4 linked regions of the Alligator mississippiensis genome follow. The protein of the gene in region 3 purifies or fractionates together with the protein of the main gene of each other region. This does not show direct contact. Links are inferred from orthologs where the notes say so. Each region holds a gene or a part of one and is shown on either strand. Other genes may lie near its edges. The genes, in order: THAP11, ZEB1, CTBP1 and EHMT2.

Region 1 (7,982 bases), on a different chromosome or scaffold from region 3:
CGGCGTGCAGCAGGCGGTCCTTCTCGCGGATCTCCTCGCGCAGCTGGGCCTCGGCCAGGCGCAGGCGGCGGATGCTGCCCTTCATCTCCTTCATCTTCACCTCCAGCAGAGCGATGATGTCCCGCTGCTCGTTCAGCTTCCGCAGCAGCTCCTCCGACGTGGTGCCCGACGACAGCGAGTACGAGTGGTCCGGGGGGCCGCCCTCCAGCGGGCCGTCCTCGCCCAGCGCCCCCGCCGCCACCAGCCGCACGGGCACCGGCCCGGCCGGCGGCTCGGGCCCGAAGTCCACCTGCACCGTCAGGTCGATGGGCTTCACGTCCTCGCCGGCGCCCCCTGCCGGGGCCTGGCCCGGCTGCAGCTGCTGGGCCTCGGCGCCGTCCTGGATGGCGAGCAGCAGGGCGGGCGCGGCGGCCACCTGGGCCGGGGGCTGGGGCGGGGCCGGGGGCTGGGGCTGGGGCAGGGCCGGGGCGGCGGGGCGAGCGCGGCGGGGGGCGCGGGCGCCCTTGCGCTCGTTGACGCCGCGCAGCGGGAAGATGGTGGGCACCCGCACCAGGTAGGACTTGCGGCCACCCTGGAAGTGCTCGCTGCAGACGCGGTGGCCCGTGGTGGGCTGGAAGGTGCTGAAGCAGCCGCTCACGCCGGCGCGGGACACGTTCTTCAGCCAGAGGCGCCGCAGCTCCTCGTCCTTGGGGAAGGTGTAGAAGTGCAGCGCCTTGTCGCGGTGCGAGTTGTTGTAGCAGCCCGGCACGCAGCACGTGAAGCCCGGCATGGCGGGGGGCGCGCGCGGGGCCCCTCGGCGGCCCCGGCGGCTGGGACGGCGGGCGCGGGGCCGCGCCGAACTACAGCTCCCACAAGGCCAACCGCGGCCTTCGCCGCCGCCAACGCCGCCCGCTCAGGGGAACCGGAACTACCCGGCCCACAATGCACCGCGCGGGCGGGCTCGCCCCGCGCCGGAACTACCCGGCCCACAAGGCGGCGGGCGCGGGCCGGAAGTGGGGGCGGGAGCAGCGCGCCCCACGGCGCTCCAGTGCACGGTGAAACTACAGCACCCACAATGCACTGGGCTCCCGCGGCTTTATTGTGCCGGAGCCTCCTCCCACCATGTACGGGGACGCCCCACCTAAGGAGGAGCCGAGCGGGCGGCGGAAGTGCGCAGTTCCCAGGATTCTAGAGCGCAGGCGCGTGGCTTGCGTCACTACAAGCCCCACAACGCACCCCGCACCGTTCCAAGGCGCCGGGACAACCACCAGTCGGCGACCGCGGCCGCTAGTCCCACAATGCTGCGCACTACGCAGGCGCACGCGTCGTCAGCCTGACCTAGGCGGCTGCGGCCAAACCGTATTCCTCGGCAAGCGCTGGTGGCGGGCCGGCCTCGGGGCTTGTTGGCGCCGCTTCCCCTAGGCTCGGGGGCGTGGGGCACCCAGACCTGCTGCGAGACGCGCGTACGCTGCTGTCAGCTGCGGGCGGGAGGTGACGGGCCCCGGCGTGAAAACAGGCACCTTGCAGCCGTCGGTCTGCTCGGCAGGCTCCTACTCCAGCCGCGTCTGTCCCTTCTGTTACTAGTAGTGTCTGCGTCAGGTGCCTCCTCTCGATTAATACACTGAAAAGCCATGGCAGGCTGTGAAGGCCGTCAGTGCCCAGCCATTATTTATCTATATTATTACAGCACCTTGAAGCCCCAGCTCTGCACCAGGATCCCACTGGCGTACAGTACGTGCTGTTAAGAAAGCAGAGTTCCTAGAAAAGGAATGCTTTAAAACTCGAATCTGACCAGCAGCATCCGTGTTACTTCTCATGATGCACGTGCCAAAAATAAATGCCTTGATTGCCACTTCATACGGGTGGCTGCTAAGGGGGCTGAGGGGCCCTGGACAGCCCTGCTGTTTGCTGCTGACTAGGGGGAGGCAAAAACAAGTTTAAAACCATGGTTTCAGCTTCCCTGCTGATCAGGAGGGGGGGGTTCTCTGTTAATTGGGGATGGGGGGGGAACAAGGTCCATGCAGGGGAATATGCAAGATTAAAAGAGCCACCACACTCTCCTTATGCTGTGAATTTGATTGGCCTCTACCTATGTAGCTTGGCAGTTGCACCACACCGCCATGGCCACCAAGGTGAGGTGCCCCCCCATCCACCCAGCAGCAGTTAGGGCACAACTCTGCACCACCATGCCTCAGCATGGCACCCCCTCCCATGCTGGGTCCACATGCTGGGCTGTGAAGGTAGTTCCTCTGGAGCTGATCCAGTTTTAGTGCAGCCTGATGCCCACTGTGGGTGCAGAAATCTTGGGGGTCACATGTCTCCACTGTCCTCCCAGTTTGTGGCCTGTGCCCCTCCCTGCCACACCTGCGTGGCTGGTGGTCACTGACTTACAGGAGCTGCTTCCCACTGCTGCCTGACCACCACATGCACGAGCTTGCGCACACATGCATGTGGTACCCCCTGCGTTGATTACTCCTCCACCTCCCTGCAGCCCCTTGTAGGCTGGAACTCTGCCAGCCTCCAAAGGGAACCTACCATATTCTGCATTTCTCTTTTAAGGAAGAAAATCTGATTTTTCACCTTTAAAAGAGAAAATCCGCATTTTTCTCCATTACAGGAGAAAATCCACGTTTCTGCAGCAGATGGAAAAAGCTGGATCACTGCTGCTAAACAATATGTCTCTGAACATTTACCAGTACTGTTTTTCAAGTTTCATAGATCTAGTTCAGTGCTCAACAGAGTATTTTTGAAAGCGCAAGGTAGGTCAGGGTCTGAAGAGAGAGCTCTACCCGTTTCTCAGACGGCAGGAGCAGAGGGCTGCAGTGCCTAGGGAAACCCTCTGTATTAAGTCATCTAGACCCTTAATATATCTGGGAAAGATGCAGGGAGCGGAGATTTAATGCATTTGTTTTTCTTTTTCTAAAGTAAGCTCAACCTCCAGAACCCCGGGGGGCGCCAGCCTGGGGTGAGCTGCCAGGCCCCACCTTAACTGGGGCGGGGAGGCCTTTGTAGGCCTCGTTATAGGATGATCCCTGTGGGGCTCAGAGCGGCAACCAGGCCGCCCCCGAGAGCAGGGAGGTGTGATGCGCGCAGGCTGGACCCGCGTCCCGGGAGCGGCCTCGTCCAAACCACGCAGCTGCGGACAGTCCCGCAGCACAGCTCGTCCCAGCCTACTGCGCATGCGCGAGGCGGGCGCCGCTGCTGCTTACACGGCCCTACAGTTCACGCCGAGGAGCGGGAGGTCAAGGGTTCTGGAATCACGTCTCCCATCAGGCACCGCGCTTCTCGCGAGACTTGGCTTGAAGCAGCAGGCGGGAGAGTCGGCTGTGCCGTTGGGCTGAGGCGGAGGCACGGCGGCAGGAGCGGGCCCTTGGCGGGGCTGTCTCTCTCCGCCTCCCGCCCGCGGGCCAGTCCGGGCGAGGCTGTGTCCTGCTGCTCGGGGCCGGGGCTGCCTGGCTTCTCCCACCCGCATCCCTGGCCGCGCGGGGCGGGGTGGCGGGTTTCGCTCTTGCCCCTCGCTTGGTGGCCGGCGCCTCTGCCCGCTGTAGCCGCAGCCATGCCGGACCCCGCGGCTGCCCCCAGGACCAGCGCCTCCGCTGGGCTCGGCCACGACTCTGGCGTGTCCCCGTCCGCGGTCCCGCGCCGCGCAGCGGAGGAGTGGGCCCGGCCGGCGCCCAGGCGGAAGGTGCTTGTCGATCCGCAGCGCCGCCCCCTCGCCTCGTCCCGCTCCGCTCCGCTCCGCTCCGCTCCGCGCGGCGGGGAAGCCGCTTCCCCAGGCGTTTCGGCTCCTCCCGGACCTCCCCCAGGGCCCGACCCAGCTTGGTTCCGACCGCGGGTGAAAGCCAAGCGCGCTCGGGACAGCGGGGGGGCGGGGCGGGCCGCGCGCGGCGAGGGAACGAGTGGGTTGATGAAGTGAACTGGGGTGGAGGCAGTTAATACCTGGGGGCACGAGGGAGGAAACGGCCAGTCCAGGCAATGAGATGAGAAACCATAGTCCCTGCGGAGGCAAAGCTTAACTCAGTCCAGTCTGTGGGCGATTTCTTTGCAGTGGGGTCTAAGTTGCTTTTTCAAGTTTAGTTGTTTAAGTACAGCTGCTCAGAGGCTGGTGAGGGAATGTCTGTGTGGTTACACTGCTCCACCACAGGCTTTTGGCTGTTTCTGAAATAGATGTTGAAGCTCTTCCAGGGCTTTCTTCTCTGGAATTGATAGTTCTTTAGTTGACTTTCCATAGCAGATCTTCTCTGTGATACACGGCTCGTGCTCACTCATGCTGCTGTCTCTTCTGCAGTAATGTACTGAGACTGAGTTCTGTTGTGTGGGCACTGCAGTCTCAGAGATTGTCTTCACCCTGAAAAACTTAGGACGTATGTCAAGGGTGTCAAACATGGCCCACTCACCTGGGTCATCTGGCCCCAAACTTTTGCCTTGACTCTGGCCGCAGTGCTGGGATTGGCATGGCAGCTGCAGCAGCACCTTGGGGAGAGCAGCATGGCTGGCAGAAGCCTTGCTATTGTGACCGAAGCCAGGAGAAAAGACTTGGCTCAGCAGGCACTGGCCCCAGTGCTACTGAAGCTGTCTGCCTCCCAGTGAAAGCCAGGGCACCGTCTACTGCCATAGAAAGCCTTGCCATGGCCAGGTAACGGAGATTTTCCACTCACCAGGGCATGGGCTACTGCCATGGAATCCCATGCCTATCTGTTGCTTGGGCACTAGTTGCCAGTCTGGCACCACAACCAGAGGCCTAGAACCTTGGATCAGGTTGCAGTAAAGGGGCTTCTGCTTGTGATGCTGGTGGAGCTGCTAGTCCCCCAGCAAAAGCTGGGGCTTGGGCTGTTGCTGCAATGGTGCAGTTCCTGGCCACTGTGACGCTTGAGTTGAAATCCTTTTACAGCCACCTCTTCTCCCCTGCCCTCCATGCCTTCTGAGACTGGGGTGATTCCTAATCTGAGGAAGGCTGGGGAGATGTGCCTAGTCATTCCTGATCCCAGCAGGGAGTGGAGCAGCAGGGAAAGACTCCCTGTACTTGCCCCAGACTGGACTCTGGGGGTTTGGGTGGAGCAGCCTCTTCTACTCTGCTTGTAGTTTCTAAGAGCGGGGGGACCACTGGGGCAAAGCCTCTTGCTCCTACCTCAAACAGGGCAATCATTCTGTGGTACAGTATTTTTGTGATTTTCAAAATATAAGAACTCTGGTTCTGGGAGTTTCACAAGCTTATCACTAGAAAATATGTCCTTAGCATGTTACTCTTAAGGTTCTGATTTATTGATGAATGTGAATGCTTAAAGTAGTTCTCTTTTTGCTTTCTCTACTAAGCATCTGTCTGATTCGAGGAAACAGAAACCAACTATGGCCCCTGACCTTGAAACTGCCACACCTAGGTTGCTACTCAGAAAAATCTTCCAGACTCGTAAGTATAACCCCCTTTTCTGGAAAATCAGACATTTCACAGACATTAGGGCTGGAAGGGACCTCTCGAGATCATTGGGTCCAGCCCCCTGCCCAAGGGGCAGGAAGTCAGCTGGGGCAAATGATCCCAGCAAGATAGACATCCAAGTGTTTCTTGGAAGTGTCCAGAGTAAGTGCTTACACCACTTCTGGGAGGAGTCTATTCTAGGCTCTGGGGACGTGGATGGTAAAGAAGTTTTTTCTTATGTCCACCTAAAATGGGCTTTCCGGAGTTTGTGACTGTTAGACCTTGTCTTCCCTTGGGGTGCCCTGGTGGAACAGACATTCTCCCAGCTCCTGATACACACCCCTTATGTAGTTGCATCTAAGATGCAATTTTAAAAGAGTTGAGAAGAGAGAGATGTTCATAATTTTTACTCTGTTGGGGGTGGGGGAGAGAAATTCAGACCTTCTTTTACGAAGACCATGCTTTTATACAAAATGTTAGCTATAAGGTTATTAGAACTGTGAAAGGCTTATACAAGAAATTTTCACTTTCAAAGGTAAATGCTTGACCTTTGCAGAACAGCAAAAAAATCTTGCCTCTGTGTCTCCTGTTATCAGAATTACTGAACAAGTAAATCATTAATGCCTTATCCCACCTACTTCATAGGAATTGCATGAAAATTTCCAACTTATGACCGCCTTGGGGTGGGCATTTATGAGCTACCAGCTGTTTCCTCATTTGTGTGTTTGGTTTTTTTTTTTGTTTTTTTGGTTGTTTTTTTTTTTTAATTTTAGTAACCCTAAATAAGACCTAAGCAGCAAGATGCCTTTCTGAAAAAGCTTATTTTTGAGAACACGTTTCACTTTCATTGAGGAGCAGATCTTAAATGGTTCTCTCCATCTCGACTCCATTGCTGCACTCTTAATTGGTGAATAAATATATATTTAAAAAAAATTTGTGACCACTACTTTGAAAAAGAACTGAAGCATGTTTCTCTTGCTTCACTTGCATCTTACCACTTTTCCTAGGTTCATTTGTGGTAATGAAGTACTTTGTTTTGTTTACAGAGCCAGAGGTTTCACCTGTGGTTCCTAAAATAACTGAGCCCTGGGAACCTAGAGAGTCTGGATCAGAAACCCACTCAGAAAGGCTTTCTAATACGTAAGTACATTTCTGTTAGTCATGAAGTTGTAGAGGAGGCTGTTTTGCCTCCCCTGGCAGAAAGTTCAGAGTTCCAATGTGGTGTGCAAATGCTTCAAAAATATCTGTTTAAAGGTCTGTAATGTAAATCGTTTTAGCTATATGAAGACATGATTTCTTAGGATGTGAGCACCAAGGGTGCTCACTCTTCAGACCACAGACCAGATCCAGCTTTCCATCTAGCCTGCAGGGCCTCCCCATGGGTGTGGTGCCAAATCTCGGGACCCATGAGGAGCCCCAGGCCCTGTGTGCTGGATGGGATGCCCAATTCCAGTGTGCAGGGCTGGCTGGGTTGGGGCAGCACCAAGCCCCTAGTACTCAGTCCTGCACGGTGAGTGGAGGTAGTGCCATTCTTCTGAATGAAGCAAAAAGGTTGAGCACCATTGCAGTAGACAGGGTGCAGGCCTGCAGTGCCAACTCTGGCCAGTCCAGGACTGGACCTGCATGCAGTGCTTGCCCCAGGTGGACTGGGGCAGGCGTTGTATATAGCACAAATCTGTGACCAGCTGGGGTGAGAGCTGTATCTGGCATGTGGAAGACCCACGGACCTATCTCCTCCCCAACTCTGCATGCCAGATCCCATTTTAGCCAGTCCAAGGCTTTACTACTTGCTCCAGAACCTGTACTACACATAGCTTGTGCCCCAGAGTGGGTCGTGCAGTCCCGGACCAGCCAGGTTGGTCACTGGATCCAGCATTGTTGGGGGGAGGGTGTCCTGAACTGGACCTGCACAGGTGCTGCATATAGCATAGGTTCTAGAGTGGCTGATGTGTGTGGCGCACTTCTTGGGGCCTGCGCATGGACCCTGTGTATTGTTTGTGGGAAATTTCAAGACCCAGGGCCAGCACTGGGGGCAGAGGGGGGCAGAGGATATGGCTTCATAGCCTGGATCTTTAACATTCCTGCACTATAAGTTTCACTGCTTTGTTTTAGTAGCATGAAGATACAGCTGCCAGACCTTGTTTCTGAGGATACAGCTATAATTACATTTCACACGAGTAGGAATAAAAGGAAATTGAGCATTTCTGAATTTGAGAGAGCAGTGGATAAGCGATCTTCTCAAAACCTGGGTAAGGCCTCAGTCGGGGGCTCCTTGCTTGAGTCTTCACATCATCATTTTCAAAGAGCTTCAAAAGATTCCTTTTGAACTTCGTAGCTGCAGTAGTTCGCTGCTGAGTGTCTCTTTCCTATGCTTTTCAGCACCAGTGGGAAAATGTTTGCAACTTTTTTTTATTGTAGATGGGACTAAGGCTACTATTAAGCAGATGTAGGGTGACAAGCATCGGTTATTAGCAATTAAACTAGCTTGTATAGTGGTAACAGGCCCTGGTGCATGTTGGAAGTACAAAAAAGACACTGGAGTAGGTCAAAGGCCATCTTTTTTATATTAAGAATATAGGTGGTTAGGCTT
Region 2 (8,012 bases), on a different chromosome or scaffold from region 3:
TCAAACTATAGATAAGTTGCTTGTGAAGATGTTCTTCACTTATGTTCCACGATACTATAAGGAAAAACAAAACAAAACACTACCACCACACACAATGGATACCTGAGCCCAAAATTAATGAGTCATGCTGTTGAAATGGTCAACACAATGTTTTGGACACAAAGCATTTGAGATGATTACAGGACTTTTCCAGAGCATATTCTTTATTTCCCAAAGTAGAAATAGCATAGTTATGGAGTGCATTTGCAAATCAAAAATGTTTATTCCAAATATGCTATATACAAAGGATTTTTGTGATAAGATCCAGAAAGTAAAGCTGGCATGTGTGCTATACATTTCATTTATGGAACAAATTATCAAAAAGTGATATATAACATCAGCAAAGATGAACTGCCTATAGCAACAGACGTATCTCCATGGGCATTTTAAATAGAAGGGGAATGAAGAGTAAGCAAGACAATCAAAGTGATTAAGAAATAGTCTGGATGCTCATAAATGAACAAAGAAAAATTCCAAAAAAATCAAATACACAAGTTCATGAAGTCCAAAGCAGGTGTAATTTATATAAGTGGTGGTTAACATCAGGCAGGTTCACTATTAGTCTTTCAAAGAATCACTTCTGACTAACAAGCAAGAAATCTCAACAGTTTATTAAAATGCAGATGGTGCTTTTCTAATTTTTTTGAAATCATACATAGTTGGACCAGAATTCACATTTGGCAATCCTAGCTTCGGGGCTCATGTGAAGAGGGAAGCTCATGGTAAAGTATTCAAATGGTGAAACAAAAAGTGTTTCATCTAAAAGATAATTAAGGAAGAAAAAAAGTTCCTATTTTTTGTTAAATATCTACCAAGTCTATTCTAAATACATTTATAATCTATAAGGATCTTTTCCATTTTGATTCATCAACTGTAAGAACATTCACCTTAAAAACAGATGACACTGACTTGAAAGCAAAGAATAAAAATCAAGGAACTGATTAGAATACACCACAGGTTCTTAACTGAAACTCCTAGAAGTCACGCTTCATTGCATTAAAAACAACTGTAATCCAGTTTGTTTCGAAGGACACTTTCAGGCAGCAAACTCTTTTTGGTCGCTCCTCTTAGAGTAATTCTAATTCTTCAAACTATGATTTCATATAGTAAAGTGATGAATATACTTGTAAAATAGAAATTCATTTGGCAGTGAAAGCAAAAAGTGCTTTATGAGAAAGAAAGATCTAGGGATCAAGGAGGCAAAGTCAAGTGAAAGTGAACATGTTAGTAAAGAAAATTACAACACAATAAAAAAGTGAAATGAAAGCGGAAAAAAGCAGTTTAATCAGTTAGTTTTTACTGACTAAAAGAATGCATATTCCATGTAAAAACCATAAATCTCTACAGCAGTACTTAATGGGTATCATGTGGAACTTTATTTAATGAATGTCTAACGTACACAAGGATGACACAAACAAACAGAAGATTTTTACAATTTAATTTTTTGTTCAACTGAATAGCAAAAGGATCTTAGCCTGGTATAATACAATCAGTGCACATTTTGTTAAAAGCAAAGATCAGCATGGTAATCATTCGTGAAAAATATACCATTTTCAAAAGGGCTTTACAGTAGACTTATACCAATGTAACTATTAAAACAGTTTAATCATTTTTGTCTCTCTGTGCAAATAGACTTCAGAAGGAAGGCAATCTATTAACACTGAAATTTGCTACTCGTTTGCATAAGAAAACTTTCAGGTCTAAAACATGCAAACATATTATGCCATTATGCCCCTGGAAATAATTTCATACAAAATTCATATGGTTATTTGTGAGAGTTGCCCACACCTCTGAAATTCTCTCTTTAAAGAAATATGCTTACAAATCTGGCTTTATTTAGAAAAAGCAACAAAAGATACTTCTTTGCCCAGACCTTTACAAAGGGTTAAATTATTAATCTGTAAATTCCTAACTGAAAGGTCAGATTAAAAGCTAAAGCCAGTAGTAGAGAATAGTGTGTTTTTAATTCTTATTTACAATAAATTGATGCAATCAAAACCTTGTTAAGATGTGCCCAGGCATCCTATAGATGGTATTACTGCATTTAACAGTTAGTCTGAATCAGGGATCAGTTAAAACTGAAGTATGGTGATTGATGATGACTACCATTTATTATGACAATTTTTAATACAGTAAATGAGAATATATTTTGTAAGATTTTGTAAGAGGATGCATGATTCCCTCAGTTGCTTGGTGATTACCATAAGTATACTCTAGTTCAAGAGATCTACATACCTACTTGTCAATTGTGACTACAAAGCTTTCCACACTAAGTGGCAGTAGGAGGCTAATCATCCAATTTATGTAAAATCTATCCTAATTTTGTGGCTCCTGATCTTTTGGACACAAACATACAACTGGTTTACATTAAGGAGCTTACTAGTGTTATCTTTAACAGTCTACATACTAGTCCAATATCTCTATTATTTCTATGCTACTGAAGTATGAAAGTGAGAACCCTTTTGCCAGTTTTTTCCTCTTCAGGTGCTGGAGGTAGTAAAGACTGCCATCAATTTCTCTCTGTTGTTGCTTGCAAATCTCTTAGAGGTAAGGCCCTGAATAGTCACTGTAGCTTGTATAAGTGAGGGGAAAAACTCCAAAGGTGAAGAATAGGACACAGACCGCAGCACTTGGAGTGGCTAGAAGATTAAAGAAGCAGCAACAGAGAAACAATCCTCTCTCAAAGCAGTCAGGAGGTTTTGGGGAAGGAAACAGTGCCCCTCTTCTCCCTCCCTGCCGTCAGTGCAAGTACTGGGTGGAGATTTTAACTTTTTCAGAATAAAGAGTATAAAAAATAAAAAATATTGCTTTTATTCAGAGATGAACATTACATAACTTAATCAAAAGGAGCTAACTGAAAAAGTCACCTTGTTTAGATTTTGGCACCATGTGTGCAAGAGAGAAATTTTATGAAATCTTCTAACATTGGGTTCAAGTGGTAAATGAAACCACAGAGCTTCTCCACCTGCTCCAATTGCCTTCTAAAAGCAGAAAGAACTGTAGGACGTAAATACCAAGTGACATTCACCTAAACAATTAAATCTAGAGAGTACACATGTATTTGTTATGTGTGTGGCTAATACTGCAGGCCTCAACCTACAAGCTGTTCCACAAAGATGTCTGCTTCTATTGAAGAGCTTGTAGGACCACAACCCCAGATAAAAATTAAAGCTCTGCATCATTTTGCACCATCTTTGCCGTTTCCCCTCTTGTACTTCACTCCCCTAACAGTAACATTTTCCGTTTTTTATTTCACTCTTTATTGCATATTCCATGTCCCTTCTGATTCTGAAGTACCCTTGCACTTGGGTTTCAGAAACTACAGGCAAATATTAAATTAAACAAATGCAAAGAAATCTGTGAGAAGTGAATTAATTTCTATTACAGGATCTATAACCCATCTTTAAAAAAGCTTAGAGGGCAGGTCCAGGTCCACAGCTAGTGCAAGTCAACTGAAGCCAAGACAACTTACACTAACTAAATACTGAATTTAAATATGGATCTTAAACTTCAGTTTCATAAGCATGAACATATACATGATCCTGACATGTGCATATGCATGAGGGCTGAAGTTTTGTGCACATGAACCCCCAAAACCATAACTCACATTTTAAAACATAGCCTTTAGATGAATGAGAAGTAGAGGCGCAGTCAGGTCACTTTGGATGGATCAGTCACAACAGACTTTAAAAATTTGTGTAATCCCACTTTTTTCCAGTCTCAGGCATACTTTTAAGTAACAAAACATCACTTCAGTTAAAAAACAAAACAAAAACATAACTGCTCAATTGCTACCAGTATTGTAAAATGTATATACATCCTACTTACTTTTCACTCAAGAAAAATATTCAGAATACTTACTAGTTCTAAACATTTCCATCTTATCCCTAATCTTTCTGCCTTTGTTTAATGGGCAGGTATCCGCCCATGATTATCTCACTGAAAAACTGGGTTGTTCAAGCTTCACGGACTTAACCTAAAATAACTTGCTTGAGTTAAGCACCTGTAATTGTTATAGGCTTCTTCAGAAGCTGCAGATGCTAAGCATCTCTCATGTCGAAGAGGTCCTTTTCCTCCTACCATTTGACAACATTTCTATAAGTTCAGGTCATATAGTACAGAACTGTTCCTGAGCAGGAGAACTAGGACATGAGCGCGGCTAGGGACAAATGGGATACCGACTGGCCACCTCTGGGGGTCCTAAGTGGAGTACAAGGTGAAAAGTCAGCATATGGCAAGAATGCTCCAGCGTCAATTAGTGTGTCAGGCCTCCAGTTTTGGTCACTTCAAGCTCAAGATGTAGTCATTAAAAAGAGGGGAGGGAGGAGTCTTTCATTTTTGTTTTCAAATTACTTAAAAAATAACATCTACTTAGTTTTCAGGAGGGGCTGTTCTGTCGGTGGTAAGAGAAACAAGTTTGTACACACACACACACACACACACACACACACAGTCACACTCACGCAGCCCACAGGTCCGGGCTGGCCCCAGGAACAGGCGTCGCACGGGGGAGGCGCAGCTTCTCCTCGCGGTTCCCTTCCCGGGCGGGACCCGCCAGGCGGTATCGCAGCGCCCTGCGCCGTCCCCCTCGGGGCCACCTGTCCCTGTCCGTGCCCGTGCCCGGACGCGCCAGCTGCCGCGTCCCCCGAGCAGGTGGCGGCGCCGCGGGGCAGAGGCAGCACCTGCAAGCGTCTCGGCTCGGGGGCAAACGGAGAGGGGCCCGGCCCCACCGCTCCCGGGGGCCCCTCTCCTCTCCGGCCCGCACACGCGCCCTCCCCCCGGACCCCGCCAGTACCTGCGGGCGTCCCTTTTCCCTCGGCCCGGTTCAAACGCGCTGCCGTAAAGCGCCCGTCGCCCCTGGCAACAAGGTTCCGGCCGCGCCGCGCGCTAGGTGTGGGAAGGTGATGTAAAAGTAAAACCACCCAGTGTCGTAAACCAGGTCCGGGGGGGAGGGGAGGGGAGGGCGGGGGAGGGCGGGGGAGGAGGTGACTGGAGCATTTAGACACAAGCGCGAGGATCATGGCGGATGGCCCCAGGTGTAAGCGCAGGAAGCAGGCGAACCCGAGGCGCAATAACGGTCAGTGCGCGCGGGGCCGGGGCCGCGGCCCCTCGGGGCGGCGCGGGGCTGGGGCCGGCGCCGGGGCCGGGGCCGGGCGGGGGCGGCACAAGTGGAAAGTCCCGTCCGAGCCGGGCGCCGCCGCACCGTTAGCTGCGATCCGCTACCTGGCGCCGCCCGCTCGCTCGCTCGCCCGCCCGCTCGCTCCTCCGCCTGGCGGCGCCGCCGGGACCGTTACACGCGCCCGCCCGCAACTCCCAAACTTCCCACCTGTGCGCGCCCCGCGAGGGCGGCTCGGCGGTGCCGCAGCGGGCAGCGCCCGGCCCCGGCGCGACTCGGCGGCCGGCGGAGCGGGACACGGGCGATCCATGAAGTTTCTCGCCTCGCCCCGGCGGCGGAGCTACCTGCGCGGCCGACGCTGCCGGGCCCGGGCGCTGGAGCGGAGCGGCCGCAGCCTATATAAGGCACGGGGGGAGCCCGCGGGCCGGGCCGCTCGGGGGACGGCGTCGCGGCTCGGCGCGCGGGGCTGCCCGGGGGAGGCGGCCACAGGGCGGCTCCGTCCCCTCCCGGGCCAGGCTGCCTTTCATGTGGCGCTTCCTGTGCGGCTCGGGCTGGGCAGGCTGCGGCCCCGCCGCGTTGCCGGGCGGGCGGGGGCATCGCTGCCGGGCTGCCCCGGGCCGGGCCTGGCCGCGCCACGGCCACTTGTTCCGGGCCGAGCAACTTGCTGGCGCCGGCACTGATGCGCTTTTTATAGCGAGTATCGGCGCCCGCCTGCGTGTGTGTGTGTCTGCATGCACATACGTGTATGTACATCTAAGTGCGTGCGTGCCAGTGTACATAAATATACTCTCGTATGCGGGGGGTGTAAAGTGTGTGTGTAGACCTATACAGACGCACACTTACACGTGTGTGTGTATGTACGTATATGTGTGTATACATACACACACGTCTACTAACTCTGTTGGCGTGAGTATAAAGTGTGCGTGTGCGTGTCTGTGTGTATATGTCAAGGTGCTCATTTTAATTCCTCATCAGTATTACTGTTTTGCTGCTGATGTGGCTTTCTTCAAGGTAAGTTTGGAAAGTGCTTTTCTTCTTTCCTGCCTTATTTAAAACGTCGCCGATCGGGGGTGGGTAGGGGGGAAGGGGCTTTTCTCCTTGCTGACGACATGCGTGTCGACATGTGAGTCTGAACCACCCAGTGTCTGGGCAGGAGCTGTAAACATGTTTACCTGAACAGGAAAGAAAATGGATTTTTCTCTGAAAGATCCTGCGATGCGAATGTCGGGCTCTTAAAACGTAGCAACAGATGACTGGAGGGTGGATTTTTTATTTTTTTTTTCCCTGAAAACCTAGCTTTTGAGATCGTCGGGGGGAAAAAGAGGTTCTTGATCGCTGCAGCAAATGGCAACTTGTGCAGGTAGAAAAAAAAAAGATGGTGTTTAGTTTTCTCCTGCATGCATGTCAGCCCCCTCCTGTCTGCTGCTTTCATTCTCCAGGGAGGGATTTATTTACCACGCTTGCTGTCAGTGTTTTTCCTTTGTGCTTAATATTAGAAAAACAGATTTGAGGCTGTTTAGCACGAAATGTTTTGTCTGCAGCATGTAGCTCTGACAGAAAACAAAAGGTATATAAGACATTATATCATTCCAGGTATCATTCATCTTCATCACTTTTGGCCCTCATCCTTGCACCCTTTTTGTTATCAAAGGCCTTTGATTCTTTATAAACTAGTTCTTTGGCATAGAATTTAAACAGTTTTTTCCCCTACGAATTAAAAACAACTTTGTAAGCCATTGTGCAGTGAAGCATCAGGATCGGTTAGATAATAGATGCTGGATAATAGAGATTTCTCAGCAGTGGGCTCATGTTTGACTTGCAAATTTTACTGAAGAAAATTGGTAGAAAAATGTTAACCCTTAAACCTTTATCACAAATAGATAAATAAAATGATATCTATGGCAAGCTTCTAAATATACTTTGTTCTTAGATGGAAAGCTTTCTGTTAATCAAAGATCAAGGTATAGTAGATTCTCCAGCAACTGTAGTGCTAATGATATGCAGTAAATCAATTTTACTCTGTTCCAATCTCCCTCTGCATCCCCCCTCCCCTCACAGGATGGGAGGTATTAAGGGGAGGTATTACACTTGCCATCCAGGAACCCAGTTTGACAGTGTAGACTATGACACCGAGCTGTATGCTGTAAACTTTAATGCTGTGTTCACATAGTGGCACAACATACCAATGCTAATTGACTTACCGTTAGTGTTTTGATGCTGTATGCTCTGTTTTTTAAACAGCTATGCTCTCTCTTTCCTGAGTGGAAGTCCAAACTTATGGCTGCCAGTCTGGTACATTAACTCTAGATAAGAAAAGATGTGTGACTGACTGTCTGTTTCTAGAGCTGGTTCCTTTGCTGCCTCCTGATTTGGTCATTACAGGAAGCAAACAAAAGATTTGATTGCTGTTCTATAAAGACTTCACCTTGTCTTGCACTTGGCTCATTCCTAAATAAAGCTATGGGAGCTCATTGACTAAAACCAGTACAATAAATACAAAAATATTAAGCAACCAAGTGTGTGTGTCTTCATATCCTAATAACTTTATTCTGATACTGCAGAAAGAGTAGCAAAATGTTCAGTTCAGACTTTTTTGTATTTTTCTTTGGTGAGGGGAGGTGGAGGGAAGGGAAATGGGAGTTCCTGAACCTGCAGTCCTGCAGTTCCTGAACCTTCATAGATGCAGCCTTATGCTGTGAAGAGAGAGCCTCTTTGGCCCTCTCCAGACAGGCGCGGCTGTGTAGTATGTGGCACAGCAGACACATCTGCGGCGTCACATACTATGTGTTCAGGTGTTCTCCATACTGCAAGGGAGCAGCGAGGGGTGGGGGTTGACCCCTGGTTATCAAGGAATCGA
Region 3 (7,854 bases):
TATTGATGACAAGTTATTCTAACACAGTCCATGTATCCGGTATATTACATATAATACTGTTCACACTGTTCATATGATTTCTACCTTGGCAAAAATTTGATCTCATGGTGTATTTTATGCCATTGAAGGCAAAAGGTCATCAATACACATTTTCAATATATAATTACTTGCCCAAAGGAGACAAATGAAGTTTCTGTATTACTACAGCAGATAATATACAAAATATTTACATTTTGATATACATATAACCAAAGCAATTAAGCACTTGCATTGGATGTGGCATTTCTTCCTCCAAAAATTAATCTCTCTTTCAAAATGTAAACCAAAATATTTAAAACAAGTAAGGGCCTTCTGTAGGCCTACAGAATTATGTCAGCAGTGTTTAATTTCAACTAATTGTTAATTCTTATTAATAAAATATGTGAAGAGGATAAACATTAATAGGTTGTGACTTGAACTGGACAAAACCAGAAGATGCAAAATTGAAGTTGACATTTCTTCTTTCTCTCACACCACTAGGGGACAGGAAAAAAGAAACAAGATCTGGCATACACTCCTTCCTTAATTTACCCCAAGTTTACATTTCCTGGCTGTTATAAGAGTCACAAAATGATCATACAACTTAAAAATTGGCCACTGTATATAAAAAGTTAATCTGTTTTGAATTATTAATTAAATGGAAAGCATTTCAACTCTTTTAAATTAGATCAGGGAGGGTGGATTAAGCAGCAGAAACTTGGAAACAAAAACCATAGTCTTTTAAACCACAATGTCATTTCTGTACACAAATGTTTACAATACTTTTATTTATTCTGCTCTTAATTTCAATAGGCAGTTACTGATCAGTGTTCTTTAACATCATTCAGAATTCTGATTTTAACTTATTAACGTGGTTCTTGTCCACACACTTTCTCCATCGATATTTGCATGATAAACTAATTGCTGCAACCTTAAACTGAAAATATGCCAACAATGCATACACAGGCTGTATCAATATTTATACATGCAACGCAGAACATAAATTAGTTGGCATGGAACAATTAAAGCTGCCTCTCTGAAGTTGCAATATTTAAAGGTTAAAGATTAGACATGCTCCCTCTTGTGTTAAACTAAGAATACATGCTGTTTTCTGTGACATGATGGTGGCTCAGCCATCTGTTCCATTAAGCAAATACCTTCAACTTTGGCTACTCATTTCTGACAAATGTTCACCCACAGCTCTACAGGTCAGACAGACTCATTTTGACCACATAACCATATCCACCTGATTGCTTTCTATTTGTGATACGCTGTGTCAGTTGGAACAATACTGAAGATAACTATCAAGCCTATCAGTTATAAAAACTATGGTAAATTGAGATTCTTGGATATATGTAAATGGACATAGCTAAATACATTACATATAAGGTTACATATATCTAATGGTAATAGCTGTAGATTTCGCACCTGAGCCCAATAGACATTTTGTTGTAATGTATTCTTTGCTATTTTCATAGTTCGTATCATTAGCATGACTAGTACATGTATGTAATCCAGCATGTCTATTTAATTGCCCCTTAAAACATACTATGTGAGTCGTATGCGTGTGAGAGAATATAATAGGGAAACACAGTGATGCAAAGATTTGTAGCATACCATTCACTCAATTAGGACTCCAGCCCTCCAAGCTGAACAGCCCAAGCAAACCTCATGGAGCCTCAACCAAGTCAATCGACTTCAACGCACATAAATCCAGTTGTAGGATCTCGCTCTTAGCGCTTGTGTAGACAAGGAAAACAAGGCGGCTGAACACAAAACTACAGGTACAGCTCACAACTATGTTTTTTAACTAATAACAAATTTTAAACAAAGACTTTGCACTCGATGCCAACAGGACAAATCACGTTTAGAAACAAGTCAGCTGGTTGCGGGCAAATTCTAGGCTCCGCGCTAGGTTTAAGCACAGGTCATGTTTTTAAACAAGCTTTGCACGTGCAAGTCTGAAGTCACGCAGAAGGCAGGGTAGAGATACGTCTTCTAAATCAGGGATTTTCAGCCTTTTTTAATAGGTGTTCCTTCAGCAGCTCCTTTTTTAATAACCGTGCCCCCAGCGGGACTGGCAAGTGGCCAGATGCAGAGCGCGGGGAGGGGGTGTCGAGCAGCCAGACGGAGCAGGGGCCTGCTCTCCTCCCGCCCCAGCCCTGCTTCTCAGGCATTGGCACCAGGTTTCCTAGCGCTAGGGTCGGAAGGGACCTGAACAGATCAAGTCCTGCCCTGCGCAGGAATGAGTGCTGGGATCATAATACCCCAGGCAGGGAGGCAGCGCCCACCCCTGCATACCCCTCCCCCCATGGGGGACATGTACCCCCAGCTGACACCCCACTCTAGACCAGCGGTTCTCAAACTTTTTGTGGTCCCAGGACCCATCTGTAAACACCGATGGCCCCAGCGGCCCTCACTCCAGCCCCACAGCGCATGGGGAAGGGGGGTGCACAAGGGGCCATCCTGCGAAGGAAAAGCCTCCATTTCCCCGTGTTTTTCTCCTTGAAAGGAGAACCCCTATTTAAAATTAAAAATAAATAAATAAAAAGTTGGCTGATCCGTTTTTAGTTTGCTCGTCTATTCTCGCGCCCCACTTTTGGGTCGCGACACGCTGCTCTCAGGGGACGCGCAAACTTTTGCGAGCCGAGCTCAGGCGCTTCGGATTTGGCTAGTCCAGCAGCGCTCAACCTGTCAGGCCAGGGATGGGCCCGACACAACCCAGCCGGGGGCCCGCAGGGTGCTTTTTTTTGTCGCTCCCCCCTCCCCAAGCAACCCCGGGCCCTGTGGAGGAGCCGCCGCCGCCTCGGGGAGCCCTGCCCCGGCCTGCCCCGCTGGCAGGCCGCCCGGGCCCCCCCAGCCCGCTCGCGCACGGAGGCAGCCACAGGTGTCCCGGGGCGGAGGAGCCGGGGGTCGGGGACTCACTCTGTCTCCGCTATTTAAACCTCTTCCCGCCGCCTCACGCCTCACTCCCTCTCTCCTCCCCGCGGAACTTACTGGGCACCGGCCCCCTCCCCCCCTCCGCCCGCACAGCCCCGCTCCGGCCAGCGGCCGCGGCGGCTCCGCCCGCCCCCCTCCACGCGCCACGCTGAGCTGCCATTGGCTCCGCGCTGTGCCCATCAGCGAGCTCTGCTCAAGCATTGGTCAGGAGGCGTGCCACTCAAAGGGCACGCCCGCCCCCCTCCTCCAGGCTCCCACCTCTGACCCGCCCTCCCCCCACGGACACCTTGGGGGGTCATTAAAACGGTGGCCAGAAAAATTTACTTTTCGGACCCGCCCCCCTGAGCAGAGGGTCGGTTCTGATTGGCTCCGAGGCCAGGCGCTGTTAAAGGATTGGGTGGCGATGTGTCCGTCACGTCAACGAGGCCCGCCTGTGAGCGCGCGTTCTTCTCTTTCATTTGCCAGGCAGTCCTGGCCCTTTCTCCTCCCTCCTCCAATCCGCTGCCCTTTGACAGTGAGCCACTTCTCCACCGAAAGGGGCTCGATGATTGGTGGAGGGCTCTCCCTTGCTACCAAGTGTTCTAGTGGAGTGTACCATGAGGCTGTTGGAAGCTGGGGGGGTAGGGAGCAGGCGGTGGTTCAGGCCGTCCCCCTTAGGGAGGAGAGGGCGGGGCGGGGCGGGAGGAAGTCCTTGCTGGCCCATCATGCCCCGCGCGCGGTAGGTCGCTCCGCGCGGGCGGGGGGGAGGAGGCGGCGGGTGCCCAATCCAAGATGGCGGTGCAGGAATCAGCTGCTCAGCTCTCAATGACTTTGAAGGTGCAGGAGTATCCCACTCTCAAGGTGGGTGCCGGGCCTGGGCCGCTCTCAGGGGCCCCCAGCCCTGCATTGTGGCCCCCAGGTTGGTGAGGCGGGGGGGGTCCTCACCCCCCACCCCAAATGGCAGGGCTGGTGCCAGGCAGGCTGGATGCTCCCCTCAGGGGTGGGAATCTGCATCCCCCGGGGGCGGGGTGGGGTGCAGGCCCCTGAGCAGCAGCTGAGTGAGGAGGGAGGGGTATGAGGGGCTGCCCTGGGAGGGGGAGGCGTGAGGCAGCGATTTGGGGCTGGGCTGCGGGCGAGGAGCGAGCTGCATGGCGTTGTTCAGAGATGGAGGGATTGGGGGGGTGGGGGATGGGGTGGAATATGGTTCCCCGGCTCCTGATTCTCCAAAGATGGAGATGAGCTGGAGGGGGCGAGGGGAGACGGATGAGCCGAGGGGCTGGGGTTCGGGTGGCTGCGTAGCTCGGGTGCTGGGGAGACACAAGGGTGTGACGAGGGAGGGGGGGCAGGGGGTGAAATGCCCTTTGAAGGGTGGGAAGAAGTGAATTGCGTATCTGGTCCCTGATGTTGTCACCAGGAAAGTGAGCAAAATTTGTTGAAGGTTGTTAGCAGTGACATTTGCTGAAACTGGGGATTGTCCCCGTTCTCCCCTGTGTCCCCATCCCCTCCCCCCATGCAGTGGGAGCGTCGTTTCGAATCTGTTCTGTATGAATTCGATCCGTCTGTTTGCTGCTGTAAGGATTTGATCCTGCACTGGTTAAGTTGGGGGGGGGGGGGGAGCAGGACTGTTTAAATAGGCCTCTTGCATCTGTAATGCCAGTGAATTCTCATGTTTGTTATTTTTTTATTTTTTTAAGGCCTAAAAGGTGCTTTGCAAAGTGCTGTGCAAAGTAAATTTGTGCTGATATCATGCTTTTATATGCAAAATGTCATGCGGTTCTGGTTTATTTGTCTTTGCAGGCTTCTGTCCATGTTATTTCTATCCATCTCTCTTGCTTTTCCTTTCCTCCTCCTCCACCGCCAGCCCTACCCCCTTCACTCCACCCTCCTCCACCACCAGTCCTGCCCCCTTCATTCTGGAGTGCTTAAATGTGACGAGGTCTGGCTTAAAATTTAAGATTTCTTAAAAAGACAGTATGATACTTTCTGCACCCAGCAACTGTGTAAAGGAATTCATAGACAAAGAAGCCCATTTTAGAGCTGTTTTACTGACACATCCATATTGTGCTTAAACAGTTTTTTTTTCTTGTGTTCTTCATTATTAACGCGGATCACTGTTTTATTTTGCTTTTTATATTTTATGTAAGGTGATTTTAGCAAGTGTCACAGATTTTGAGGATGGACTGATTATAAGACAGTTTCAAGTATACTTTTGTTCATAAGGATTTTCTTGCAAAACATTTTGAGAAGAGAATGAAATCTTACTTGTCACAAAATTATAAACAGTCTGAGATAACCTTATATCAGTAGCGTTAACTGTTGTTTGTTTAGATAGCATGTGGAATGCTTACCACTACTTCTTATCTCCTCTACCCCAGAAACTTCCTTTCTGTTGTGTGGTGCATTGCTTGCTTTTTCCTTTTCTCTCCGCCTTTTTTTTAAGGGGGGGGGGGGGGGAGGAGGATTCTGTCTAATCAGAAAATAACTGTAAAAATAGTTGTTCTGTTTCACATGTTTCTTTAAGTTTTTCTGAATGACATTTTGAAGTCTCAGCCACGTTTATGCTAAGATAAAATCCATCTGATGTTAGATGTAAAAAAGAGGAAAGGAAGAAAGAGATTGAGACCCAGGTCCACAAAGGTATTTAAGCATTTTAGATCTACTGAAATGATACAAATTTATAATGCAGTTACAGTTGTGAAATCAGTGGAAGTTAAATGCCTAAATACCTTTTGCAGATTTGGGCCTGTGTATTTTCATCTTCTGTCAGTTCTTAAGCCTCTAAAAGAACAGATCATAAAATGCAGGCATATCATTTTATGATGGCCACTGGGGTGGCAGCTCAGAGATTTTGTTCCAGCTCTGTGGACACTGGCAATTTTCTCCGATGCAAGTGAAGTAGAAAGGAATGCAAAATTATATTTATATCCTTCCTGTTTCCTCCCTTTAGCTTGCTCATGCCAACGTCACTAGATAATAGTTGTGTAATAGCTCTACATTACAGTAGTTCCAGAGAGAAGGCCTTTCATGTGAAAAGTGCTTAAAACTGTTTAGGGAAATCCCTGTTCCATAGCTGAATTGTGGTTGCTTCTGGAGTGGAAGTGCATCAGGCATTCTACAAAGTATGATTTTTTTTCAGGTGAAAGTAAAGTGACCTATTCAACTGAATCTACGAGACAATTTGAGCATACAAAACATAACAAACCAAATTGCTTTCCTGTTCAGGACACAAGGATTTTTTGCATCTGCCCTAGTAGTGATATGGGATCTCTAAAAATCCCCACTGGTAAATAATTATGCTTTTACATCTCAGCTGAAAATATAATACAGTAGAGCTTCAATTTTCTGAACTATTCAGATAGCCAAAAAATGGATGTTGCCAGCCTACATGGTTTGTGGTGCGAGTGGCAGCAATGGTGATTAAAAGCAAGAGGAAAGAACTGTCTTAACAATTATGGAAAAACAATTGAAATAATCAGCAAATTTTAAACCATGGCAAATCTGTTACCAAATTTGCTTAGGAGTATGAAGCTGGAGCATGTTCATCTAATTGCTTGGGTAATGAAGTGCATATTAATTTTTTTTAAATGAACCAGTTTTGGTCCTCATTTAATTCAGATAATTGAAGTTGCGTTGTGTATGGAAACCTCACATAAGGATTTAAAAAAACAACACGGTGGTAACATTCTTGACATAGTTCATTGATAACATATTACTAAACAAGTCATGTCAGAAGACTAGATAATTCAGCTGTTTATTTGGAAATATAATTAGCCCTTGAACAGAATTACTATGACAAAAAAAAGGGATGACTACCTATCCAAATATTTTTACCTGGGCTTGTGAGTAATGACAGGAGGAAGCTTTGAGCTGCAGCTGTAATAACTGCCAACTGAAGCAGCTACACTTTGTTAGGAAAGGAGGCAGTAGCAATGTTAGACATTGATTTCTGAAGGCCACTCTTCAACATTTGGTGTAGACAACTGATGGAGAAGTACTGGAGCTAGACCTAGTGCAGTGTTTGTTCTTGGGTGAAATGTATCCAACTTGTGTAAGTTGTCCCAGAGTACAAGAGCTCCAAGACTGGACAGGCAGGGGAAAATGCACACACGTACTAGTATCTGTTATCTTGATCCCACATTCAAGCCAACTTTCCTTCCTACAGAAACAGAGAAAGGCACACGAGACTGCTTTTGAGACATATCATGTGCTATACTAAGGAATATACTATATTTACTCAAGCCCAAGACGAGGCTTTTTTCCCCCCATTAAACGTGGGGGGTGGGTCTTGTCTTGGATTTGAGTACAAGGCAGAGGGGCAGGCTGTTACTGCAGCTCCAACCCTGGCCCTAACCCAGGCTTGAGGCTGGGGTCAGGGTTGCAGTTGCAGCTGCCCCTAGTTGTAACTGTGGCCCTACGCTGACCTTGGGCACAGAGAACATGGTGACTGGCCCCGGCCCGGCTAGGCAATAGCAGCAGCAGCTCCAGCAGCCCCGTGATAGGGGCACGTGCACCCTGGGGGACAAGTTATAAGGGGATGCAGGCAGTGGGGGACGGACAGGGGACAAGGATCAGGCTTCCTGTCCTCCCTTTGCCCCCTGATCTCCTGCCACTTCTTGCTGCAGTGGCGGGAAGGGGGTGTGAATTTAAGACAACTGTCTGATGATTAAATTCTGGACATGGGAAATCATAACACACTTATAATTTTTCCATATATAGAATTAAATATTGGGGGCCATCTTAAATTTGAGACCTTCTTGGATTCAAGTAAATATGGTTTTTAATTGTCACCCTTTTTCCTCTTCCAGGTTCCTTGGCACCACTTTTGTTTTCAAATCATACATTTTCTACAAGGCTATGTATATTTGTACACAGTCCAGCCCACTAGGGTTTCTGTAATAAAGTTATAATAATTAAACC
Region 4 (7,847 bases), on a different chromosome or scaffold from region 3:
GGGGAGAGGAGGGATATTTGAGTTCTTGGGGGCCCCCCAGCATCTGACTTTCCCATCCTGAGACCCCCCCCAAATCCCCTGCCAGGGGCACTGCACCCAGAACCCCCCTAGGATCCTCCCCCTCCCCAGTCCCCTCCTAACATTCCCCAGAACACCCAGAACCCTCCCCCCCACCTCGGGGGTCCTTGGGGCGGGGGTCCTTGCGCTTGCGTTTGCGTGACGGCTTCACCCAGGGGCTGTCGCTCTTCCAGCGCTTCCGCGCCTTCCGCTTGGTGCTTGATGCGCTCTGGGGGGCAGGTCAGGTGAGGCAACCCCCCAGCCCTGCTGGTGCCCCTCACTCCCAGTCCACAGCCCCCTGCCCTCCCCAAGCCCCTCACACCCAACCCACAGCCCCCAGGCCCTCTCATAATCCCTGAAGTTCCCCCACCTCCAATGCCCACCCCATCCTGACCTGTGCCCTGTGACCCCAGCCACGCTCTCCCCTTAAGTCTCCAACACTCCACAAACCAAACCCTCAGCTGTGGTCTCTGACCTCTGCACACCCAAGCTCCCATGCTAGGCCTTTGACTCCCACCCTCACAGGCCATGCACCCCAGACTCTGAGCCCTGACCTTTGCTGAGCTCAGGCCTGACCTCTGACCCCATATCCACACGCAATCTAAGCCCTTGAGCCCACTCCCCAGGCCCCTCCTCCCTATCTCTGACCCCATCCAGCCTCAGCTCTGGAGTACACCGCTCCACCCCTGGTGACCTCGACCCCACCAGGGCCTCACCCTATCTGAGGTGTTCCCGGACTCTTCATCCTCATCATCGTCGTCCTCATCGTCTTCCTCCTCTTCCTCTTCCTCGTCCTCCTCTTCCTCCTCCTCCTCCTCTTCACTCAACTGCTCCCCAGCCCCATCCGCCTCTGACTGCGGGTGGGGCCCAGCATGGTGAATCCAGGTGTCCAGGCCTAGCCTGACACCGTCCCCCAGAGCCATCCACAGCTCCTGTCCCTGTTATGCCCAGCCCAGCCCCCGCGCCCCCACCTTGCTGTCCGAGTCATTGTGCCCATCCACTGAGTAGCTGTCGTAGAAGAGGCTGAAGTCGGCTCCCACCTCGGCCTCCCACTCATCGGGGCCCCGATCCTCGCCCGCTGGCCCCAATGGCCGTGCTGCCATCTCCTCCGTCACCGTGATCTGGGGGGCAATGGGCGGGGGGGTCAGAGCTCGGCCCAGGCTCCCAGCTGGACGGGGACCCAGGCGCCCAAGAGGGAGAGCTCCCAGGTAGGGAGCTCAGGTGCAAGGGGAGGGTGTCAGAAGAAGGAAACCCAGGTGTCTATGAGGAAAGAAGGGGAAAAATCAAGGGAAAAAGGATCCAGACATTGCAGCGGTGGGGTCAGGAGTAGGTAACCCAGGTGTCCAGGATGCAGTGGAAGGGAAGGCAACCAGGTGCCTGGGGACAGGGTTCAGGGGACCCAGGCATATGGGGCAGGTACCTCAGTGCTGGCACGGGGCAAGGTGGGCGGCAGGCGCTTGTGCAGGGACTCAGGGCCGTAGTCCAGTTTCCGGCGCTTGGCGGGTTCTGGGGGGATACAAAGGCATGAGGGAGGTGGCAGCCACTCTCACGGTGTCCCTCACTTCCAACCTGCAGCCCCCCCAGCCCCACTAGTACCCCTCATTCCCGACCCGCAACCCAGATACCTGGCTCCTCGATGCTACGGAGATCGTCGGAGACGCGGAAGTGCAGCATCTCGGAGACGCGCTTCTCTGGCACCTGGGGGGGGCAGCAGGCTGGGACCCAAGCATCTGGGGCACCCCCCAACCTCTGCCAGCCCTTGCCCCCCACACCCAGCCAAATGTATCCCACAAATGGGACACATGCATCTGGGACCCCTGCCCCCCATCCCACCGCAGAACCCCTGGGAAGAGCCCAGGCATCTGGGAGACCCCCCCACCCACAAAGAACAGGCTAGGGAAGGAACCCATGTGGCAAAGGGACCCCCACCTCCAGAGGAAACCCAGGCATTTTGGCACCCACCTGTCCGTTGCCGGGCTTGGCCATGGTCTTGCGGGCCCGGTGCACCTTGGGCTTGGGCTCCGGGCTTGGGGGTGCCAAAGGCGGGGCCTCAGCAGGGGCGGGGCCCATGCTGGGGGCAGGGCCAGCACCCGGCAGGCTTAGCAACCGCATGGCCAAGCTCTGCACCGAGGGGGGCGACTTCCCTGCCCCGGTCAGTGACATCTTGGCCCGGCTCGGGGGCCCCCCGGGCCCCACTGGCGGTGACGGCAGGGTCTTGGCAGCGTGGCCTACCGGGGGGGAAGGGAGTGAGAATGGGGCCAAGGACCCAGGTGTCCCCAGGAGTTGGCTCCCTTCCCTCTCCAGCCCTACCGGTGCCCCCCACTCCCGACCCGCAGCCCCGGCCCCCAGCCCTGCCGGCGCCCCCCACTCCCGACCCCCGACCCGCAGCCCCTCACCTGGCAGCCCCCTGCCCCCGGGGCTGGCGCCGGCTGCGGGGCTGCTCTCAGCCTCGGGCTCTTTGTTGCTCCCAGACACCTGGGTCCTCGGTGCCACCTCGTCCCCACTGGCCCCTGCCTCGGCAGGGCAGAGGAGGGCGGAGGGCTCTGGGGGGGGGCCCTGGCCCATGGGGGGCTGCCCTGGGGGGGGGGGGGAGATGAGTAGGGGGAGGGGCTGGGGGCTGGGAGGAGGAGTGGGGGCGGGGGGCTGTGCCCCCATCTCACCTGCGTCCCCTGCGTCTGCGGCGGCCTCCAGCGCCTCCGGCAGCTGCTCCTGGGGGCGGGGGTGGGTCAACCGCCAGCCCCGCCGGGACCCCGGCGTCCCGGCTCCTCGCCGCCCGGCCCGGACGCCCGGGTCCCCCCCCCCCCCGCGCCCGGCCGCCGGGTGCTCCCACCCCCCCCGGGCTCGCGCCCCCCCGGGCTCCCGCTCCCCGCCGGCTCCCCGCGCTCACCGCCTCCATGGCTGCGGCTGCAGAGCTGGGGGTGGGGGTGGAGCGACGGCGACACGTCACGACGCTGACGTCACGGCGAGCGGGAGCCTTAAAGGCGCCGCGGCCCCGCCCGGAGCCCCGCCCCCCCGGCCCATTGTTCGGGTCCACGTGGTGCCGGGCCCCCCCCTCCCCGGTCGTCCGCGCCCGGCCCCGCCCCCGCAGACCACCCAAGCGGCCGGGCCCCGCCTCCCCCCCAATAAAAACGTCTCAAATTTTATTTCCTTTTGAATTATTTTAATTAAAAAAAAAGTTAAAAAGTCTAAAAACGGTTAATCCTCTATGGCCCCGCCCCCCGGGCCCAGGCCCGCCCCCCACCCCAGCAGGGTCTAGGCCCCGCCCCATCTAGCCCCGCCTACCACGGGGTAATACCTCTTACTACTGCTACTGCTACCGGAGCCCCCAGGCCCCGCCCCTCCGCGGGCTCACGTGGTTATTCTTTGGTTGATGGCAACTCGCCCCCCCTCCGGAGACCCCAGGCGTCCGGGCCCCCCCATTACACCCTCAACTCCGCTTCACCCCCCCCCCCCCCAGTCCTCTCCAGCCGCGGGACCTGCACTACCCAGGGGCCAGACTCCTGCACGCCTGGTGCCTCCTTCCGCCGGGGAGTCGGGACCCTGGGATCTCGACCTGCTACGGGACCTGGGCACCGGGGGTCTCACCCATGCACCGGACGCCCGGTTCTCCGTCGCAGGGTTCCCAGCCTTCTTATGCTGAGGGCCGGCAAGCGACCGTGGACCGGCAAACTGCGGACCAACCCCAACCCTTGTTTCTACTCCGCGTAGGGAAGGGTTGGCTGCCAGTCTGCAGGATCCCCATCATTTCCAGTCCGCAGTTTGCCGGTCCGCAATCACTTCTGGTCCGGCAGCCAGCCCGTCCCATCCTAGCACCGGGCTGTGGACCGGGGGTTGGGAACCCCTGCTGTATCTGCTATGAGGTCTGGACACCTGGGTTCTCTTCCCATGGCGGGTCCGGGCACCTGGATACTTGGGTCCTCTGTCTGCTGTGGGTTCTGCACTGCCATGCCATCCAGGCACCCGGATTTTCTACCTGCTACGGGATCCGGACCCCGGACACCCGGGCTCTCCACCCTCAGTGGGGTCCAGGCACCCGGACACCTGGGTTCTCTACCTGCTATGGGATCCGGACACCTGGGTTCTCTACTTGCTATGGGATCTGGACACCTGGATGTGTGGGTTCTCCACCCACAGCAGGGTCCAGGCACCCGATGCCTGTGATCTCTACCTGCTACGGGATCTGGACCCTGGACACCTGGGTTCTCCAGGCCCCTGGGCCCCCCACACCCCACCCAGCCCTGGCTCAGCGGACGAGCACGTTGATCTCGGCCACGCTGGCTTCCAGCACGTTCTCGGCCGTAGTCTTGCCATGCTGCTCCTTGAGGTGGCGGCGGATGGCGGGTTTGTGAGCGAAGCGCACGTCGCAGTAGGAGCAGCGGTAGGGCCGCAGGCCGCTGTGCAGGTTGAGGTGGTCGTGCAGCGTGGACTTCTGTGTGAAGCTCTTGCCGCAGACACCGCACGAGTGGGACTTGACGCCGCGGTGCACGTTCATGTGCCGGTTGAGGTTACTGCTGTGGTTGAACTGCTTCCCGCAGCGCGGGCACATGAAGACAAAGTGCTGGGCCCGCATGTGGAACACCAGCTTCTCCACCCCTTGGAAGGCCTCGCCACACTTGGCACAGCGCGCCGGCCCCCCGCCCGCACCCCCGGCCCCGTGCCCACCCCCGCTGGGTGGCCCGGGCTCCAGGTAGGCCCCCGGGGGCAGCAGCAGGAGCCCCTCGCCCTCCGTGTCCTCTGCCAGGGCATAGCGGGCTTTCACCACACCTGGCACCGCCTTGCCTGGCTCACCTGGTGCTGGCCCGGCCGCCTCGGGGCCCGGGTCCTCACCCTCGCCGTCACCGGGGCCCTCCTTGGCCCAGCTGCCCTCCTTGGCCCACGCCCCTGGTGACGACCCCTCCTTGGCCCACGTCCCTGGCGACGACCCTTCCTTGGCCCACGTCCCCGGCGACGACCCTTCCTTGGCCCAGTTGGACGGTGATGACCTCTCTTTGCTCCAGTTGCCCGGCGACGACCCCTCTTTTGCCCAGTTACCTGGCGATGACCCCTCCTTCGCCCAGTTGGCCATGGAAGACCCTTCTTTGCTCCAGTTGGCCATGGCTGACCCCTCTTTGACCCAGTTGGCTGCCGATGTCCCCTCCTTTGTCCAGTTGGCCGCCGATGACCCCTCCTTTGTCCAGTTGCTTGGCGACAACCCATCCTTGGCCCAGCTGCCTGTGGAAGACCCATCCTTGACCCAGTTGGCGGTAGAAGACCCGTCCTTGACCCAGCTGGCCCCTGCTGCCCCATCCTTGGCCCAGGCAGGCTGCAGCAGGTGCTGCTTGCGGTGGCGCTGGGCCACCTCATAGGCTGACTCCACCTTGACAATGCAGATGTCGGACACGGCATCCTCATCCCCGTCATCCTCCTCGTCATCATCGTCCTCATCCTTGGGCTCAGGCTCCTCGGCCAGGCGCAGCTCCAGCTTGACAGGTGGGCGAGGCTTGCGGGGGGCCGGTTTGGTGTGGCGCAAGGGGGCTGGGCGCGGGCCCCCGCCTGCCCCTGGCTTGTCCTCCTTAAGGCCGATGCGGGGCTCAATGAACTGGGACAAGGCATTGCGGCACTTTTCCACCACATGTTCCATCTGCAGGTAACTGGCAGCCGTCAGGTAGTTGACTACATCGCGGACGGCAAACTCCAGGGCACCCGTGTAGCAGGAAAGCAGCAGGTCGGCCACAATGCGGGCGCTGTGGACCAGCGAGACCTGCAGCTCGGAGCTGGGGTTGAGCAGGAACTGGTCGCGCAGGAAGGGTGAGCAGGCTGCCAGGATCACCTTGTGCCCCCGGAACTTGAGGCTCTCGGCCACGATGGTCACGTCGCAGAACCGCTCCTCGGCCCGCAGCTGGTTCATGTTGCGCAGCGTGGCTGCCTCGTGGCCTGGCAGCTGGAAGCGCAGCAGCTCCGGCCCCGATGCCATTGTTGCGCCCAGAGACGGGGCCTGGGGGGCCGGGGTGGGGATGCTGGGGGGACCCAGGGGCTTTGGAGGGGCCGAGATGGGGGGTTGGATGGACCTGGGGAGGTGAGGGACTGAGATGGGGTTGCTATGGGGACCCGAGGGCTCTGGATGAGTGCAGATAGGGATTTGGGGGAACCTGGGAGGGTTGAGAGTGGGCGAGCTCGAGCGGCTTGGGGGTGTCTAGAGGCCTGTCTAGGGGAAAGAAACGGGGGGGCTTGGATGTGTCTGAGGGGGGTTCAGAAGTGGCTGGGGGGGTTGGGGGCAGCTGGAGTGGCTTGAGGGGCTCTGGGGCAGGCTGGGTGGTCTTGGGGAGGAGTCTGGGGGGCTGAGATAGGGGTTTGGGGGGCTTGGAGATGTCTGGGGACAGGTGGGTGGTCTTGGGGGGCAGGAGATAGGGGTTCGGGGGGCTGGATGAGTGCGGGCACTGTTGGAAAAAGCTGGAGGGGCCTGGGGGGGTTGAGATAGGGGCTCTGGGGGAGCTAAGATGGCAGGTTGTGGGGAAGTGGGGGGTTTGGGGGGAGCTGGAGCGGCTTGGAAGGGCCTGGGGGGCTGAGACAGGGGTTTTGGGGGGGCTTGGAAGGGTGGGGGAGTCAGGGGCAAGAAATGGGTGAAGGAGTTGGGGCTGGGGGGGAAGGAGAGGGGCAGAGACGGGGGCAGGGCTGGAAGGGAATGGGGGAGCCAGGAGAGTGGAGATGGGGTTTGGGACGCACTGGGGAAGATGGGGGTGGGGGGGCCCAGGAGGGGCCAAGCAGGGGGGTGCAGGCAGCTGGGAGAGCTCCAGGTGGCCGACAGTGGGGTGCACCTGATGAAGCTGCAAGAGAAAGGTGGGGGTCAATAGCTGGAGCCCCCAGCCCCTGCCCCATTGCATGGATGACCCCAGCCCCTCCCCCTCGCTACACAGACCCCCCCCATCCCTGCCCCCTACTGCACGGACCCCTGTCCCAGCCCTCCCCTTCACTGCGTGGACCCCCCCAGCCACTCCCCATTGCATGTCCCCCCATTGTGGGACCCCCTGCTCCTCCCCCTTGCTGCATGGAGCCCCTCCACCCCACTGCATGGACCCCCCCAGCCCCTCCCCCCATGGCACGACCACCCCCCTAGCCCCTCCCTCTATTGCATACCCCCCAGCCCCTCCCCCTATACGCCCCCCTCCGCCGCAGCCCCCCCTGACCGGGCGCGTGGGGGGGCCGGGTTCCCCCCGCCTCTGCGAACCGGGAGGCAGCTCCGGAGCGAGCGAATTAAAGGGGCCGAGCGAGGCCGGGGCCCCTTAAAGGGACAGGGCGCCCACCAAGGGGGGGCGGTTATTTGTCCGCCGGATAGAAATTGGACACAAGGGAGAGGGGGGGTCTTAAGGGGGCGGGGGGCGGGTTGAGGGGGGGCTGCGTGGTGCATTGTGGGAAGAGGCTTTGTGTTGGCCTGAAAGCAGCGTGGGAAGTGGGGGCGGGGCTGCCCCGGTGCATTGTGGGAGCTGAAGGGGAGGAGGCGGAGGAGGAGGCTGTCTCGGAGCATTGTGGGATGGGTGGCGGGGTGGGAGTCCGCCCCGGAGCACTGTGGGATCGATGGAGGAACGGAGCTTTTAAATCCCACCCTCCACTTTCAATGTCGCGAACGCCATCACCGGGCACCGGGATGTCATCACCGGGCGCCGGGAGAGAATTCTGAGCCCTTCTCCTGGAATCACCATAGCTACCAGCTCCCCCGCCCACATTCACACTTAAAGGAGCCCCACCTCGCCACCACACCTGGGCACTCTGGCAAGGAGCGGGGCTGGGGCGGGAGCGGGGGGCCTGGGACCCCC

Evidence for each region.
Region 1: the proteins of CTBP1 (region 3) and THAP11 purify together in Homo sapiens (co-immunoprecipitation; 4 studies listed by BioGRID and IntAct, with this or other methods). This does not show direct contact. The link is inferred for Alligator mississippiensis from reciprocal best matches to the Homo sapiens genes CTBP1 and THAP11.
Region 2: the proteins of CTBP1 (region 3) and ZEB1 purify together in Homo sapiens (affinity purification with mass spectrometry; 9 studies listed by BioGRID and IntAct, counting the BioPlex papers as one, with this or other methods). This does not show direct contact. The link is inferred for Alligator mississippiensis from reciprocal best matches to the Homo sapiens genes CTBP1 and ZEB1.
Region 4: the proteins of CTBP1 (region 3) and EHMT2 purify together in Homo sapiens (affinity purification with mass spectrometry; 4 studies listed by BioGRID and IntAct, counting the BioPlex papers as one, with this or other methods). This does not show direct contact. The link is inferred for Alligator mississippiensis from reciprocal best matches to the Homo sapiens genes CTBP1 and EHMT2.

Annotation. Positions count from the first base shown.
Region 1 is NC_081833.1:34,252,478-34,260,459, forward strand, and holds the start of THAP11 (THAP domain-containing protein 11), read right to left. Parts: upstream 3,010-7,982; 5' UTR 770-3,009; coding exon 1-769. Other genes in the region: CENPT (centromere protein T), read left to right, coding at 3,536-3,664, 5,293-5,386, 6,439-6,532, 7,505-7,641. UniProt on the Homo sapiens protein: Transcription factor, which has both transcriptional activation and repression activities. Also modulates chromatin accessibility.
Region 2 is NC_081828.1:192,323,062-192,331,073, forward strand, and holds the start of ZEB1 (zinc finger E-box-binding homeobox 1), read left to right. Parts: upstream 1-5,009; 5' UTR 5,010-5,058; coding exon 5,059-5,116; intron 5,117-8,012. UniProt on the Homo sapiens protein: Acts as a transcriptional repressor. Inhibits interleukin-2 (IL-2) gene expression. Enhances or represses the promoter activity of the ATP1A1 gene depending on the quantity of cDNA and on the cell type.
Region 3 is NC_081825.1:16,478,106-16,485,959, forward strand, and holds the start of CTBP1 (C-terminal-binding protein 1), read right to left. Parts: upstream 3,008-7,854; 5' UTR 2,944-3,007; intron 1-2,943. Other genes in the region: E3 ubiquitin-protein transferase MAEA, read left to right, coding at 3,730-3,798. UniProt on the Homo sapiens protein: Corepressor targeting diverse transcription regulators such as GLIS2 or BCL6. Has dehydrogenase activity. Involved in controlling the equilibrium between tubular and stacked structures in the Golgi complex.
Region 4 is NC_081834.1:62,582,445-62,590,291, reverse strand, and holds the start of EHMT2 (histone-lysine N-methyltransferase EHMT2), read right to left. Parts: upstream 3,011-7,847; 5' UTR 2,954-3,010; coding exon 2,945-2,953; intron 2,767-2,944; coding exon 2,718-2,766; intron 2,634-2,717; coding exon 2,454-2,633; intron 2,286-2,453; coding exon 2,020-2,285; intron 1,756-2,019; coding exon 1,683-1,755; intron 1,564-1,682; coding exon 1,478-1,563; intron 1,179-1,477; coding exon 1,029-1,178; intron 912-1,028; coding exon 774-911; intron 287-773; coding exon 175-286; intron 1-174. Other genes in the region: ZBTB12 (zinc finger and BTB domain-containing protein 12), read right to left, coding at 4,301-6,010. UniProt on the Homo sapiens protein: Histone methyltransferase that specifically mono- and dimethylates 'Lys-9' of histone H3 (H3K9me1 and H3K9me2, respectively) in euchromatin.